Notamacropus eugenii: one gene and its partner. The protein of the gene in region 1 interacts with the protein of each later gene in a pairwise test. Links are inferred from orthologs where the notes say so. Each region holds a gene or a part of one and is shown on either strand. Other genes may lie near its edges.

Evidence for each region.
Region 2: the proteins of TECR (region 1) and HACD2 interact in binary tests that used the Homo sapiens proteins (3 or more experiments, as listed by UniProt). The link is inferred for Notamacropus eugenii from reciprocal best matches to the Homo sapiens genes TECR and HACD2.

What each region holds. Positions count from the first base shown.
Region 1 is NC_092875.1:76,420,822-76,429,249, forward strand, and holds the start of TECR (very-long-chain enoyl-CoA reductase), read right to left. Parts: upstream 3,360-8,428; 5' UTR 3,350-3,359; coding exon 3,187-3,349; intron 1,938-3,186; coding exon 1,921-1,937; intron 1-1,920. UniProt on the Homo sapiens protein: Involved in both the production of very long-chain fatty acids for sphingolipid synthesis and the degradation of the sphingosine moiety in sphingolipids through the sphingosine 1-phosphate metabolic pathway.
Region 2 is NC_092876.1:340,376,934-340,384,824, reverse strand, and holds the start of HACD2 (very-long-chain (3R)-3-hydroxyacyl-CoA dehydratase 2), read right to left. Parts: upstream 3,429-7,891; 5' UTR 2,350-3,428; coding exon 1,811-2,349; intron 1-1,810. UniProt on the Homo sapiens protein: Catalyzes the third of the very long-chain fatty acids (VLCFA) elongation four-step cycle (condensation, reduction, dehydration, and reduction).

The sequences.
Region 1 (8,428 bases):
CCTCCTTAATGGCAGAGAAGTATCAAAGTCAATCCATATTATTTTTCGACATCTCTATTACAGAGATGAAATCTACCTCTCACAAAGATGTCCCTGTCTCTGCTAGTTCTGCCCTCAGTAAACCAATCATAACAAGTTCAATCACTCCTCTATACAAACAGCCCTCCAAAATGTGAAGAAAGCATGCCCCTAGCTAAGTCTTCTCTCCTCTTTTCCAGAATAACTTGGTCTCCAGTCACCTCATGGCATTATATTCACCCTATGAACTATCAAGAGTAATACTTTCCTGGAAACAGTCATTCCTTCAACAAGCATTTATTAAGTTCCTGTTCTGTTAAACACTAGAGATACTAAGTTGGGTAAAAAAAAAATTTATTTTTGAAGCAATTTTTCTATATGAAAATAGGCTTACTTTCCCCTGCTTTGCTCCCAAATTTCCTCAACCTTTGCTTTATTACACGGATAAAGGCAACTAGACAAAATGAAGGATTAGAAGTCAGAGGACCTAGGTGCTCCTCCCAGCTTAACTTCTTACTGTGTAACCTAGGGAGTTACTTAACCTCTTAGGCCTGCAGCTTCTTCAACTGTAAAACAAAGGGAGGCCTCTAAGATTCTATCCAACTTTTTACAGTTATTCGTGGCTTTAAAAGCTACATGTCCTCTCCACTATGATCCCTTAGATTTATGAATTTCATCAAGAGCTGACCCCAAATTGTTTTGTTTCACAGGCAAATCTGTCTTGGAAAACCTAGCTCTAATTAGTTCTGTGGTTGCCAGTTTAAGGGGCTGGTGACACACAGGCTCCTCTATAAACTACAGAACCTAAAAGTGCTATCCCCTCTCAGCAGGCAAGAACACATTCAAAGATGTTGATGAATTATCAACAAATAATAATGCATTGTCCCCAAATCCAGTCAACGTTCAGTCATTCTGAACAGTGGATACAAAGCAACATCTTTCTTAAAAGGAACCAAGTGATCTCATTGTTAGAAGACAGAAATGGGAGTAGTTGCAGGTGAGTGTAATTTCTTCTGTGTAATTATACCCTGTGAAGGGGGAACTATTTTAATTTCAATGGTATTAAATACAACAAAACCCAAAAGCAGCCTAATTAACTTTAGCATATATGATGAATTCTACATGTCAAATGAAACCTTACTTTTTTTACAAATGTTACAACAAGGGCAAGGAAAAGGAGAAGGAAACTATTTTACAAAGACATAACAATCATAAAGTTAAGTGAACTTTGAGATCTGATCCAACCCCCTTAATCTTGTTCAGTTGTTTCAATTGTGCCCAACTCTTTGTGACTTCATTTGAAGTTTTCTTGGCAGAGAGACTGATTTGCCATTTCCTCCTCCAGCTCATTTTACAGATGAAGAAACTGAGACAAACAGTTAACTTACCCAGAGTCACACAGTCTAATAAGTATCTAAGGCTGAATTTGAACTCAGGTCTTCCTGACTCCTGGTGCTCTATTCACTCTACCACCTAGATGTCTTTTATCTTATAGATGAATAAAAAATGGTTAAGGACCTATAGGAGGAATTCTCACAAAAATCTTTTAAAAGGGAAAGGGTAGCAGTAATTACATCTCCCAAAAAATAAAGACAAAATATAGGGGATACAGTACTGGACTTGGAGTCAGAAAGACTCAGGTTCAAATCCTGCCTCAGACTCACTAATTGTGTAACTTAACTTCTCTCAGGTTTAGTTTGTTCACCTGTAAAATGAAAAGGAGTTAAATTATACGACCTCTAACATCTCTTCCAACTCTAAATCTATGAACCTACGATCCAGTAGGTTGACATAATGATGACAGATACATAATATTAGAAGTCCTAGACTGAGGAATCAAGAGACAGTGTATATAGTTTATAAAAGAAACCTGGAAAATTAGAATTCAGTTCTGCTACTTACTGTTTGAATGTGGGTCTCTGTTTCCCATAAAATGAGAGAATAAGATTAGATGATCTCTACAGTGCCTTCATGCTTTAAAACCCATAACCATAAGAACTGGGAAAGGCCTAAATCCTGATGGCTTCATGTGTAGTAACTTCAGCCTGATAAGACTCAAGTTCTAGACTAGACCTAAGACAGACTACTTTCCACATTTTTATCGATTTTGAAATGGGCAGATTGTTTTAGCTGACATCCTGAGATTATAAGATCCCCAGGAAGGCTTATCAACTGTACTGATCAGACAGGACAAATCTGGAGATGCCGTTGGCAAGGCTCTGCTATCACCTTCCCCCTAAATAAGAATTACAGCAAAGTGCACAGGGCACAAGCTCAGGAGAAGGGGTATTCTATACCCCTACAAAGGTGTACAAACGTCAAACAGGTGACAGTTGATAATGTTTAATATAAAATTTTGGAATAATCTCTTTGTTCTCTCTGAAGCAAACTCAGAGGGTGCCTCTTCCTATGTTAACAAAGCCAGCCAAGGCTGACTCTACATTCCTTAGGAGACCTTTAACCTAGGACATTATCTTGAATAATGGGACTTTCCTTTATATCTTATTATCTATAGACATATACTATGTTATGGCATATTAATGGTAAAGAAAATATAGACATCTTAGGTCGTAATTTCTATTGAACTTTGTTTACCCTTTTCTACGTCAATTATCTGTTTAGGGCAGGAAGCCTGCCACTCACTAGTGGTGGGATTTCTTTCCTTGTCACCAAGACGTATGTTTACACAGCCTGGAATCCCAAGGCCCAACTGACATTACTTTGTTAATTGTCTTGTCTTACTGAATTTATGATTTGTTCAACTAGGAGAGTTCCTTTCTCATGGCAAAATGTATATAAGCCAGAAGATTTCTGCACTGGGTAGCCAGAACATTTCTGGCTCCATAATACATTATGTTAACGTTTTCTTTAATAGGGAATTGATTAATTAATTAAATCATAAAATGTATGCATTTAGCCTGTTGCCTTTTCTTAACCAAGTTTTCAGGTCAACACAGTTGATAAGGTACATGGTGCATCCAGGTTGGTGCAAGTTCTCCTCGCTCCCACCAGGATCTGAAGACTGCTACCTCCTCCTAACCAGGAATAGGATAAATCGATACATATTGATCAACTCGGTGCCTGCTATGAACCAGAGCAGCAACAGTACAAGGGAAAGTGGGTTCAGGACACCCAGACCCAAACCTGGCCAGGCTCGTCATTCATTACCAGTGTGACCTGGGCCAGTCATTTCCCTTCTCCCGGCCCCAGCTTCTCCTTCTTTACAAGGAGAGACTCTTCCAGCTCGGAGAAAACTAAACCTGCTTCTAGCACAACAAGAATAACCAAACATCCCGCACCGGGACCCTCCACCCCTGCCCCCAGGCTCCATCTGCACGTCATAAATACCGCTCCCCACCTCCCTGAACATGCGCACTAACACCTACCCGCGGCCTGAGGCACTTCGTGCTCTAACTGCGCCTGCGTCCTCCTCTCAGCCTCAGAGCCCGGGGCTGTTTGGGGTTTGGGGTCACGGGACTATTTAAGGTTTGCGTTGAGTCTTGGGGTTTTGTTGGGGCTTTTTGTGCGGCAGGGGTCTTCTCGATCCTGAGGAGAGTCTCCGTTGCGCTTGTGGCGCTCCTCCCCGTCTCCTTGCCCTTCCTCCCCCCTCACTCCCACCCCCAGCCAGATGAGTTTGTCTCTCCTTACCTCACAGTGCTTCATGGCTCCCTCTCACCCACGAGCCGCAGCCGCCTCCTAGCTCGCGACAACCACTGCTGAGAGCCTCACTCCTGGCTCACACCCGGCCTAGGCTACCAACGACGCCCGCCCACCAGCCCCCTGCCCCTCCCCCTCCCACCTCGTGCGCGCCTCGCCGGCCAATCAGCGCCTAGTGGGAAGACACGAGGGGGAGGGGAGGAGGGAAGCGCTCTCACCTTTGACCTAGCACCACGCGCGAGGCTGCGCAGGATCCCAGATGGTTACCTCCTCGCGCCACACGGCTGACCAATGAGCTTGTGGAACCGGCGGCCCGCTGAGGGGTGGTAGGACCAGACGGGGGGGGGGGGGGGCGATGCAGCTCTCGCAGCCAATCAGGAGAGGGAGTAGACTCTGCCCTTGCCTCACCCCCACGCTTCCCTATGGAAACCGAAGGTAGTGACGGTTATTGGAGGCGGGGAAAGCAGCGGTTGAGTGACAGGAGCGTGGGACGAGCCGAAGCAGGAGCAAACATGGCGGGCGGGGGAACCCAGTTGCGGGACTGATAGGTGGGCATCTGCGGACCCTGGGCGCGGGGATGACCATCTGACCCAAAGACCTACCCCTGGAAGATAGGAGCGGGCCGGCCTGGCGGGCTGAAGGAACTGGGGGCGTGTGGCGCCCACTAGGCCGCAGGGGAGCCTGGTGGTGAGGGGGTCCCTTGAGGTCTCTCCATTTCTACAGGCTTGGGGGGAAGGGGCGCGGGAAGGGGGAGCCGCGTGGTCCCTGTCTCCCATAGGTAATCATATATACATATATAATTTGTTGTTCAGTCATGTGTGACTCCTTGTGACCCAGTTTGGGATTCTCATGGCGAAGATACTGGAGTGGTTTGCCATTTCCTTCTCCAGCTCATTTTACAGATGAGGAAACTGAGGCAAGCAGGATTAAGTGACTTGCCCAGGATCACATAACTAGCTGGTGTAGGAGGTTGGATTTGAATTCGGGAGCATGACTCGTCCTGACTCCAGATCTGGTACTCTATCCACTTAGCCACCTAGCTACCCCTACATATGTGTGTATATATGTATATATACACACATACACATATGTACCTTCATATTTTAAAAATATATCCATCTGCCTGCCTACCAGTATTCTCCAGTTTAACTGGAAGCCCCCTGAGGTCAAGATGGGGAAATCTGCTTAAAAGATAATTGTTGCATGGGATTGAATGAATCCTAAAGTCTTTCTTTCCTGGACAACCCTGCCTTGCACCATAATAGCAAGAATTGGCCTCAACTAGATAACATTTCAGCAAGCCTCTCTGTAGCAATTTTTAAGCCATGGGAGACATCTGGGTCAGAAAGGAAAGGACACCAAACTTGCAGATTTGAGTTCCAGCCTGCCTATCTGTAACACATGATGTTGAACACCACTTTTTCTAGACCTCAAGCTTTTCTTATCTCATTTTGGAGAAGAGGTTAAATCAAATCTTTATGTTCTCTTCCAAGTGATGAATCCTAGGAACCCACTGTAGACTGGGTTCTTACCCTTTCTGTTCCCAAAGGTCAATAGAAAATGGCTAACTCCTTTAGAGAAGGGAACTCCTCTCTTGGCATAGTATATTCAGGCAAATTCTAGTGCAAAGAAAATTAAGTGGGAGTCATGAGACTTTTCTTCAAATCCCATCTCAATTATTAACTGTGTGACTTTGGTCAAGCCTTCTCCATACCTCCATTTCCTCATCTGTAAAATGTCTAGATGGGATTAGATGGGTCTCTCAAGTCCCTAACAGCTCATTTTGTGTGATTCTATGATTCTCTAACCTGGTTTGGGGCTTAGGGAGCTGAGATTGGCATTTGTTTACTCCTAGGTTTAGCCAGATGGGGCATGACCCAAAGAATGTTCAGAGGATCACACTTTTTCACCATTTTCATTCTTTGCTCTCTCCCCCAACAACAGGTGTCCAACTACCAATCAGCACTGAACTGCTCACTTTCTGGTAGGTGGGTCAGACTGTTGCATCCAGCCAGAAGCCTTTGCAACCTGAATTGAAGCCAAAGACAGACACCAGAATCAGTAAAGGTAACCCACTGACTTACATGGAAATAGAAAAGACTTTAAGCACATTCCAAGTCAATGAGTCATCCTGGTTTATGGAAAACTATGATTTTCCATTACCTTTAGTTCATTCTTATTGGGAAGCTACAGTGCCCTACATCAGTTTATCACCCTTTTGCTTGCTTGCCGGGGGGAAAGAACTAATAAGCTTTCTAGAGTCATGTCGCAGTCCCACAAAACTACCAATATCAAGTAGAAGGAGAAGGCAGGCAGTGTAGTAGGTAGAGAGCTGGCCTTGGAACACAGAAGAAATGAGTTCATGGTCTACCTGTGATACACACTGAATATGGGACTCTGAGGAAGTCACTTAACTGCTTAGTGACCTAGGTGTGGGACAATAAGTTGAGGAGAAAGTGCTGACCATCTGTAGGAAGAGGGAGTTTTCTCATCCAGAAATTCCCTGTACCAGTGTAATCACAGGTGCAATCCCTGTCCCCATCAAGTAGAAAGCACTGAGATTAAGAGTGATCAGAAGCAATCTCATTTAATTTTGCTGAGCCTCAGTTTTCCACCAATGTTTCAAAAGATCTCCAGTTCCAGAGGTGTAAGAGTAAGGATCTGTCTTATCAAAACATTTTAGCTCTCTTAGTTTGTTTCAGAGTAGGCATTTAGTGTTTCTTGAATAAAATTTAATCATGACCATTCCATGTCTTAGTAGTTGGTTTCATAAGTTGGTATGGTTAAAAAAAAAAATCGTTGGATTCCCAGCAACTCTGAAGTCATATGACAGTCATCCAAAAAGGAACCTTTCCAGTTTGTGGGACCTGTCAGAGCTTGTGCTCCCTAACAGAGGCTTTGGGAACCCAGGATGACTCATCTGCATGCCAAGATGAGAGAGTGGTATAGGATTTTAGTGAAAATTTGAATCTGAAAAAAAAGAGATAATATTAAGTCAAATCCTCCATTTATAGTGGAAAGAGTGCAGCATTTGGAGTCAAGAAACCTGACTCTGTCCCTGGTTTCATGTCTTTTTTTTTTCTGGCAAATCATTTAATCTCTGAACTTCATTTTCTTCATCAACAGAACGGCAATAACAGTATATTAGCTACATCACAGATGTGTCTCAAAGAAAGAAGTATAAGTACTAATTTTTAAAAATTTTTATTGATATATTTCTTTTTTGCTTCACCTACATTTCTTAACAAATCCCTCCCCCCAACATTCAGAGAGCAAAAAATTTTTAAAGGGGAAAAACAGTTCAGCAAAACTAAGATATTGAAAACTCTAATGTTGTGTGTGGTGCTCAAAGCCCCCAAATCTCTACAAAGAAAGGCTGAGGTGCTTTCCCCTCTCTGCTCTTTGGGGCTACATTTGGCCACTGTAATTTCCCAGTGTTTGGTTGCAGTTGTTTTGTTGTTACCATCGATATTGTTACAGTCAATATGTGGATTCTTTTCCTGGTTCTGTTTACTTTGCATCAGTTCACATGTGTCTTTCCAGGCTTCCTTGTATTCCTCATATTCATGTTTCTCATCAGATTCCACTATATTCCCAAACCACAGTTTGTTTGACTGTTTCCCCATCAATGGGCAGCTATTTCATTTCCAGCTCATTGCCACTACAAAATGTGATGCTATAAATATTTTGTTATAGATAGAACCTTTCTTTTTGTCATTGACCTTTCAGGTCAGTGCCTAAGGGATTTGGGGTGTGGGAGAGGAGACACACAGTTAAGTGGGGCAGTGAATAGAATGCTGAGCCTGGAATCGACAATGCCTGAGTTCAAATCCAGCCTCAGATACTTAGTAGTTGTGTGACCCTGAGCAAGTTACTTAACCTTTGTTTGCCTCAGTTTCTTCATCTGTAAAATGAAAATAATAGTAGCAACTATTTCCCATGGTGTTGTTAGGATCCAATGAGATAATTTTAGAGCACATAGTAAGCGCTATATATATGTGATGGTGATAATGATGATGTCTAACAGCACAGACTCTGGGTCAGATTAACAAAAGTAACATTTTTATTACTTTTTTTGCATAATAAACCTATTCACAGCTCCACCAACAGTGCATTATACTGTTCCTGTCCTTCTACCACCCCTTCGACATTGACTTTTCCTGTCTTTTGTTATCTTTACCAGTTAGTGATTTGGAACATTATTTCATATGACTATTAATGGTTTACAATTCTTCTTTTGAGAACAGTTTGTTAATATCTTTTGACTACATATCTATTGGGTATTTTTTTTTATTTTAGATATTTTAGTTGCCTATATGGAGAGTCCCAAAAATCTTGGTGCAGTTTTAATCTAAGCTACATTGACTTTTACAAATGACCCTGTACATCTTGAATATCAGACCTTTGTCAGAGATATTTAATATAAAGTTTTTTCCCCAGTCAATCACTTTTTATTCTAGTTGCATTAATTTTGTTTGCTTAGAAAAATTTTCAATTTCAAGTAATCAGAATTATCTTTTTTATCATTTGCGATTGTCTCTATATCTCATTAGAATTCACACACTAGCCATTACTGTGTGAAAGTTTCCATTTTGGTTCTCCTCCAGGTCACATATCCATTTTGAATTTATTGTGAATTTTGGAATGAGATATTAATCTAAACCTAATTTCTTTCCATTTCTTCCAATTTTCCCATTAATTCTTGTTAAACACAGGAATCCTCCAGATGATTTGAATTTATTAAACATCAAAT
Region 2 (7,891 bases), on another chromosome or scaffold:
TTCTTTGGCCAAACCAAAAAAGTCATAATATATTTACAGTGAAAAGTAGTAAGAATTAATATTAACATCAGTACTTGATACCAAGAAAAATAGTAAAATTGGATAAAATACTTTTTTATCCTGAGTATTGATAATGAAAGAAAAGATGGTTTAATATAAACACTTTGGTCCAGCTCCCAACCAACCAAAGATGGAAACCCCACTGGGAAACGAAGTTCAGTCCTTCCTCTTGCCCACCTCCAACTAACCCTCCGAATTAGAATGTAGCTCTGGACAGAAGCCTAATAACTGATGCCCCAAGGTAGAGAGAAGTGCACATCTATGCCCAAATGTCTGAAGCTGCAGAGCGTACTTTGGAAAAGCCTGAGAAAGGGCACTAGGCAGTGGCACAGGCACCATTCCTGGCTGGTCGGCCTGTTCAGTTCATCTATACAGCCCATGTCCAGGACTCAGAGAACACTTCTAATTCTCTGTGAATTATGGTAAACCTCTTCAATTCCTATGATAATGGATTCAAAACTGCCCAAACAGGGTTGAAATTGACTTTCCAACAACTGAGGAACCAAAAAATAAACATCAAAACAATGATTTTAAGGGATCCTTAAGTACTTCCAAATCCTCAAACTGGCACATGCAGTCGGTTCATTAAAGTTTTCTAGAAACCTCTGAGAACATTTTAGTCTATTTTGACTATTATACCTTGAAAGTTTACTATTTTGGGTCTACATTCAGAGTTTTTACTAGTTCAGCAGTCTTTCCCCCATTAGACTGAATCTGTGACATTTTAAGAATACTAAAAAATTAAGGTCTCTTTAAATGTTTAAATGATTTTTTTTTTCCAAATCAGGTATTCATTAGGCACCAAGTGTAGTGGTAATAATCATTAAGTGCAAAGAATGTGCAAAACACTGTACTAGGTCCTTTGAGGGACAAAAAAAAATTTGTTTTAAGACTTCCCAAAAGAAAGAAAAGTAAGTTATCAACATCCTGGCAATAGGTTAATTTTTCTCAATCTACTCAAATTCTTCCCAGTTGAAGACACCTCCCCCTCCCCCCAATTCATACTCCAGATTATGTTATTAAGATTCCCTTCTGATCACTCGGCTACAATCTGAATTTCTCAAACTCCTCTCTGGCCCTTTTTATATCGATAAGCCTCTGTCTTTCCCATACATAGAAGAAGAAAAAAAAAGTCCTCCATATATTAGACCTTCTGCCTCCCTAAAACCAGCTCGGGTGGGAATCTTTGCAGTTGCCTCCCAAGACACTCAGCTCCCCATCTCCTGGGTCTCTCCCATGCCACCCCCCAACCCAGACTCTCTGTCCCACAAGTCTGTTTTCCTCCAGCTTCCCTCCCCTGGGATCGCTTCTACACACCCCGGCCAAAACCTTCAACCAGCTCCTCTGCGTTTCCAGGCTTCGCACCATCGGTTTTTAATGGACACTGCCTGCCCATCCTCCCCGATTTCCTCTCGGGCTCGGTCCACTCCCTTTCGGCCCTTTGCTCTCGGCGTTCCCTCCCCCGCCCATCCCTAAATCCCGCACCAGACTCGCTCCTCCGTAAGGACGCGCGGAGCCCCGGGGGGCAGGGGCTGGGCTGGCTTCATTCATCTTTTCAGCCCCAGCTCCGTAGTCCCGCTTCGTGGAACAGGTTAGAGAATGAATGAATGAAGGGACGCCCGCAGTCAGGGCGCATGCTCGCTGGAGGTCTCCGGGCTCGCGGGGGGACCCCCCCCCCCCCGCCCAGGTTCAACTCTCCCTCCCACCCCATCCCCCGCCCCTGTCACCTGCGGCCCCTTCCCCTCCTCACCCCGCAGTCATCACCACATTGTATATGACCAGGTACGCGGTGGCCAGGGGCCCCGGCCCCTTCTTCTTCCGCGGCCCGCCGGCTTCACTGGGCCCAGGCCGGCCGCCGCTCCCATTTCCCTTCGTCCCAGTCGCCGAAGACCCCGACGCCGCCGCAGTCGCCGCCATGTCCAAAGAGACGATCCCTACCTGCCCCGGGTGGAGAGAACGCGCCACCGAGTGCGCCTGGCCCGGAGACTGGAAGCTGGACGGCTTTGAGGAGTGGGAGGCGGGGCCCGCGTGACGGGGAGGGGTCGGGGAGGAGCGCTTGGGTGGAGGGGGGAAGGGAAGGAAAGAACGCCTTAGACGCCATCTTTGATCAGGGAAACTGACCCGCAAGGCCAAACGATGCGCCTCTCTCCACTTCCCGGCGCGCCATGTTGGATGAGGGCAAGCGAACGTAGCCCCACCCCTTCCAGACCTCAGGCAGGGCCGCTTTTGACCCAGCGAGGCACTCGTTGCCCGGGCCTCGCGCTCGCTGTGGCGATTGGCTAACGTCATGCCCCGGGCGGGGAGGTGTGTCCGCTTCCTGAAAGTGAAGGGGAAGACGCCGAGGACTTTGTACCTTCCAGCCTCTCGTTTTATTCTTTTCACGTCCGTTTGGCTGAATCGAGGGAGGGCTTGAGAACGCAGAGTCACAGGAAGTCAAGTGAGAAAGGGGCCTTTTGAATTCTCAGCCCCGCCCCTCCTTCATTTACATATGAGGGAAACTGAGGTTCTCCGGGCGGAAAAGGACGCCTTCCCCGGGATAGTCCGGGGGCCGAGGCTTGCCTGGAAGCCCGTGCTCCTGATCGCCTAAGGAATGGTCGCCTTTGGGGCTTCACCCCGGGTTACCGTATTTTCCCTGGTAGACGGGCAGCAGCGGGTGAGGGGGCGTGCCTTGCTCTCCACATCTGCGAGGCTAGCAACGCAGGCCCTGGGGGTGGGGTGGGGAAAAGGACGGGGTGTTCTGTCATTGTAAGGACGAACCCTTTGTCCGGGGGAGAGCCGAGCACGGAAAACAGCCCTGCCCCCGGGTTTTCGAGTAAAAAGCCCTTCTCCGTTTCCCGGGGCGTCCCTGGAGTGCCCCTTTCTCCGATTCCTGCCTTTTAGAAGGAATTCAGCTGGTGGCAGAAATCATCTCCAATCAACACGTGTGAAATTGAATGCTCAGCTTAAAACAAAGTCTAGTTTAGACAGCGTGCTTGGGAAATCCATGAATGGGGAATATCTGCTTTACAAAAAGTTTCCTTCAAAGCGTTTCTCTGATCAGAATAATCCAAGACAAATTCCAGAGAACCCACGAGGAAAAATGTTCCAGAGAGATGAGTGATGTACTCAGTGCAGGCTGAAGGGTACTTTTAAATTTTTTATTAATTTTCTTTAGGGGCACTGGTTTTTTTTTTTTTGCAACATGGGTAATAGGGAAATATGTTTTGCAGGACTTCACATGTGTAATCGATATATTGCTCGCCTTCTCAGGGGGTGGGAGACATTGTCAAGGAAGGAGGGAAAGAATTTAGAACTCCAAAATTTTTTTTTTAATGTTTACATTTTTTTACATGTAATTGGGAAATATTTAATGAAATAAAATATATTTTAAAAAATGAAATGCTTGTTAGTAGTGTGTATGAGGAAGTACGCAGAACTGACAGGGTTTAGTAGAACTGCTACTTCCTGTGGGAGTCATTTAATTTTTCTGTGCTTCAGTTTTTTCATCTGCCAACCAGTAAAACTTCCTCTGCATTTTTCATAGGACTGTTAACATCGATGGTAATTCATGTCTATTTAGGTATAGATGTACTTGACCTTTTATTAAAATCCTACACACATTAAATTTCTAGGTTCTCATTTGTGGCAGAGGTCACCTTGTCTTCAAAGACTGAGAGTGAGTTAAGGGCTCTGACAGGGCTTATCGCACATTGGAAAAGCTTTAAAGCCATTCCCCAGTTGATAAAAATGATGAAAAGATATGATTAGTCATTTTTCAGGGGAAGAAATCCAAGCTGTCAATAGACATGAAAAAAATGCCCTAAATCACTAATAGACAGATGCAAATTAAAACAACTCTGAAGTTCCACCTCACACCCATTATTAGATTGACACAAAGGAAAGTGACAAGTGCTGAAGGGTAGTGGAAAACAAACAGGTGCATGAATGCACTGCTGATGGAATTGAACTGGTTGAGTCATTTTGAAAAGGAATTTAGAACTGTGTCCCAGAAGTTATTAATCTATGTACCACCCAGCAATACCAACATTAGTTCTGTGCCCCAAAGAGAGTCAAAAGAAAAAGAAGAGGACCATAGATACAGAAATATAATAGCTCTTTTGTGTTTACAATAATCGGTAATGGGTTACCCATCAATTGTGGTATGGCTGAATAAGTTAGGATGTATGAATGGTGAGGAGTACTACTTTTTAAAAAATTTATTTAACTTTTAACATTCATTTGCACAAAATTTTGGGTTCCAAATTTTCTCCCCATTTGTCCCCTCCTCCCACCCCAAATCACTGAGCATTCCAATTTCCCCTATCACCAATATGCCCTCTCCTCTATCATCCCTCCCTTCCCTTGTCCCCATCTTCTCCTTTGTCCTGTAGGCTAGATAACTTTCTATACCCCTTTACCTGTATTTCTTATTTCCTAGTAGCAAGAACAGTACTCGACAGTTGTTCCTAAAACTTTGAGTTCCAACTTCTCTTCATCCCTCCCTCCCCACCCATTCCCTTTGGGAAGGCAAGCAATTCAATATAGGCCATATCTGTGTAGTTTTGCAAATGACTTCCATCATAGTTGTGTTGTGTAAGACTAACTATATTTCCCTCCATCCTATCCTGCCCCCCATTGCTTCTATTCTCTCTTTTGATCCTGTCCCTCCCCAAGAGTGTTGACTTCAAATTGCTCCCTTCTCCCATTGCCCTCCCCTCCCTCATCCCCCCACCCTATTTATCCCCTTCTCCCCCACTTTCCTGTATTGTAAGATAGGTTTTCATACCAAAATGAGTGTGCATTTTATTCCTTCCTTTAGTCGAATGTGATGAGAGTAAACTTCATGTTTTTCTCTCACCTCCCCTCTTTTTCCCTCCACTAAAAAGTCTTTTGCCTGTCTCTTTTATGAGAGGTAATTTGCCCCATTCCATTTCTCCCTTTTTCCTCCTAATATATTTCTCTCTCACCCCTTAATTTAATTTTTTTAAGATATGATCCCATCCTATTCCATTCACTCTGTGCTCTGTGTGTGTGTGTGTGTGTGTGTGTGTGTATGTATGTAATACCACCAACTACCCAGATACTGAAAAGTTTCAAGAGCTACAAATATTGTCTTTCCATGTAGGAATGTAAACAGTTCAACTTCAGTAAGTCCCTTATGACTTCTCTTTGCTGTTTACCTTTTCATGCTTCTCTTCATTCTTGTGTTTGAAAGTCAAATTTTCTTTTCAGCTCTGGTCTTTTCATCAAGAATGTTTGAAAGTCCTCAATTTCATTGAAAGACCATTTTTTCCCCTGAAGTATTATACTCAGTTTTGCTGGGTGGGTGATTCTTGGTTTTAGTCCTAGTTCCTTTGACTTCTGCAATATCCTATTCCATGCCCTTCAGTCCCTTAATGTAGAAGCTGCTAGATCTTGTGTTATCCTGATTGTACTTCCACAATACTTGAATTGTTTCTTTCTAGCTGCTTGCAATATTTTCTCCTTAACCAGGGAACTCTGGAATTTGGCCACAATGTTCCTAGGAGTTTCTCTTTTTGGATCTCTTTGAGGCAGCGATCGGTGGATTCCTTGAATACTTATTTTGCCCTCTGGTTCTAGAATCTCAGGGCAGTTTTCCTTGATAATTTCATGAAAGATGATGTCTAGGCTCTTTTTTTGATCATGGCTTTCAGGTAGTCCCATAATTTTTAAATTGTCTTTGCTGGATCTATTTTCCAGGTCAGTTGTTTTTCCAATGAGATATTTCACATTATCTTCCATTTTTTCATTCTTTTGGTTTTGTTTTGTGATTTCTTGGTTTCTCATAAAGTCATTAGCCTCCATCTGTTCCATTCTAATTTTGAAAGAACTATTTTCTTCAGTGAGCTTTTGAACCTCCTTTTCCATTTGGCTAATTCTGCTTTTGAAAGCATTCTTCTTCTCATTGGCTTTTTGAACCTCTTTTGCCAATTGAGTTAGCCTATTTTTCAAGGTGTTATTTTCTTCAGCATTTTTTTGGGTCTCCTTTAGCAAGGTGTTGACCTGCTTTTCATGCTTTTCTTGCATCTCTCTCATTTCTCTTCCCAGTTTTTCTTCACCTCTCTAACTTGATTTTCAAAATCCTCTTTGAGCTCTTCCATGGCCTGAGCCCATTGAATATTTATTTTGGATGTTTGCGATACAGAAGCCTTGATTTCTATGTCTTTCCCTGATGGTAAGCATTGTTCTTCCTCATCAGAAAGGATGGGAGGAGGTATCTGTTCACCAAGAAAGTGACCTTCTATGGTCTTATTTTTTCTGGGCATTTTCCCAGTCAGTGACTTGACTTCTGAGCTTCCTCTTCACACCCACCACACCTCCAGATCCACCCAGCTATCGGTTGGTGTCTGAGATTCAAATGCTGCTTCCCAGCCTCAGGGCTTTGGGCAGGGGTGGGGCTGCTATTCAGTATGAGATTAAGTTCAGGTGCTCAGGTGGGGGCAGGGCCGCTTCCCGGGGCTCAGTTCCCTCAGGGGGTTTATGGGGAGACCTCCAACAATGGATCTGAGCTCCTGCCTGCTTTGGCAGCCCTTGTCTGCTGCTGCCTCTGCTGCTGCCTCCCAAGGGGGCCTGAGTTATGGAGACACCCCACTCCCCTCTCAGCCACCCAAAGAGACCCTCTCACTGACCTTTGCCCCTGTGGGTGGAGGGACCTGCGCGACTGCTAGAGATTCTGTCCCTGAAGCCTGCTCAGATCTGCTCCTCTTGGTGCCCTGGCTGAGACAAGGCTGGGCTCTACTCTGGGTCCCGGGTGCAACGGACCTTTCGTGTCAGTTTTTCAGGGCTCTCTGGAACAGAAATCTCCTCCACTCCATTGTTCTGTGGCTTCTGCTGCTTCAGAATTTGTTGGGAATTCTTCTTTACAGGTAATTTATGGGCTGTGTTAGCATATGTGTATCTTTCTACTCTGCCATCTTGACTCCTCCTTCGAGGAGTACTATTTTGCAATAAGAAATAATGAAGAGGGGATGGTTTGAGAAAAACCTGAAAAAGCTTGTTGTGAACCGATGACCAAGTAAAGTGAGCAGAATTAGAACAATTTGTTTAATAATGTTGCTGTAAAGGCAGCTTAGGGAGACTGAGCTCCAACCAACAAAATGACCAACTACAAGTACAGAAGATTGATGTTGAAACATGTTATTCTCTTCCTGTCAGAGGTCAAGATGTATCAGTGCAGGAGGAGACATTTTTTTGGTATGTAGCCAATGTGGGAATTTGTTTTGCTTGCCTATACATGTTTGTGATGGGCTTTGTTTTTCTTCTTCAGTGGTTTGAGGATAGGGGAGAAGAAGGAGGGAGAGAAGGCCCATCTTAATTAATTGGGAAAAAAATGTTTTTTTAAAAAGCTTTGAGTGTGGACTCAGTGATAGATTGTATGTCCTTCTTCTGAAGACCAACCTAAGATCAGAAAGGCTTACCACTAACTTGGCAGCAGGATGGTAAACTTCTTTTATTGCAGCAACTCATAAAAACTAAGGCACAGAGGAAGTTGCAGTCTGTCTTGATGGAGGAAGTAACCATGTCGATAATCACAGATCCCTGAAATATCTATTTACAGAGAGGCTGGAAGCTGGTGGCAGAGTAATTTAACACTGTCATTTGAAGAGCCTTAGATCCTTGGAAATGGAGATAAAGCATCTCTAAAGCCATAAATTACTAGGAAAAGCAATTTGATTTGGAAAAATTAAATCATCATACTTCAGGAATATAACAAATAAGTCAACTTTTGTAGTAATAGGAAATCAGTAAGCATTTTTAAAAAATACGTTGGCTGCACAACTTTTTGTTAGGCACTAATTTTGCCGCTTAATTTGTGACTCTTATGTCACTC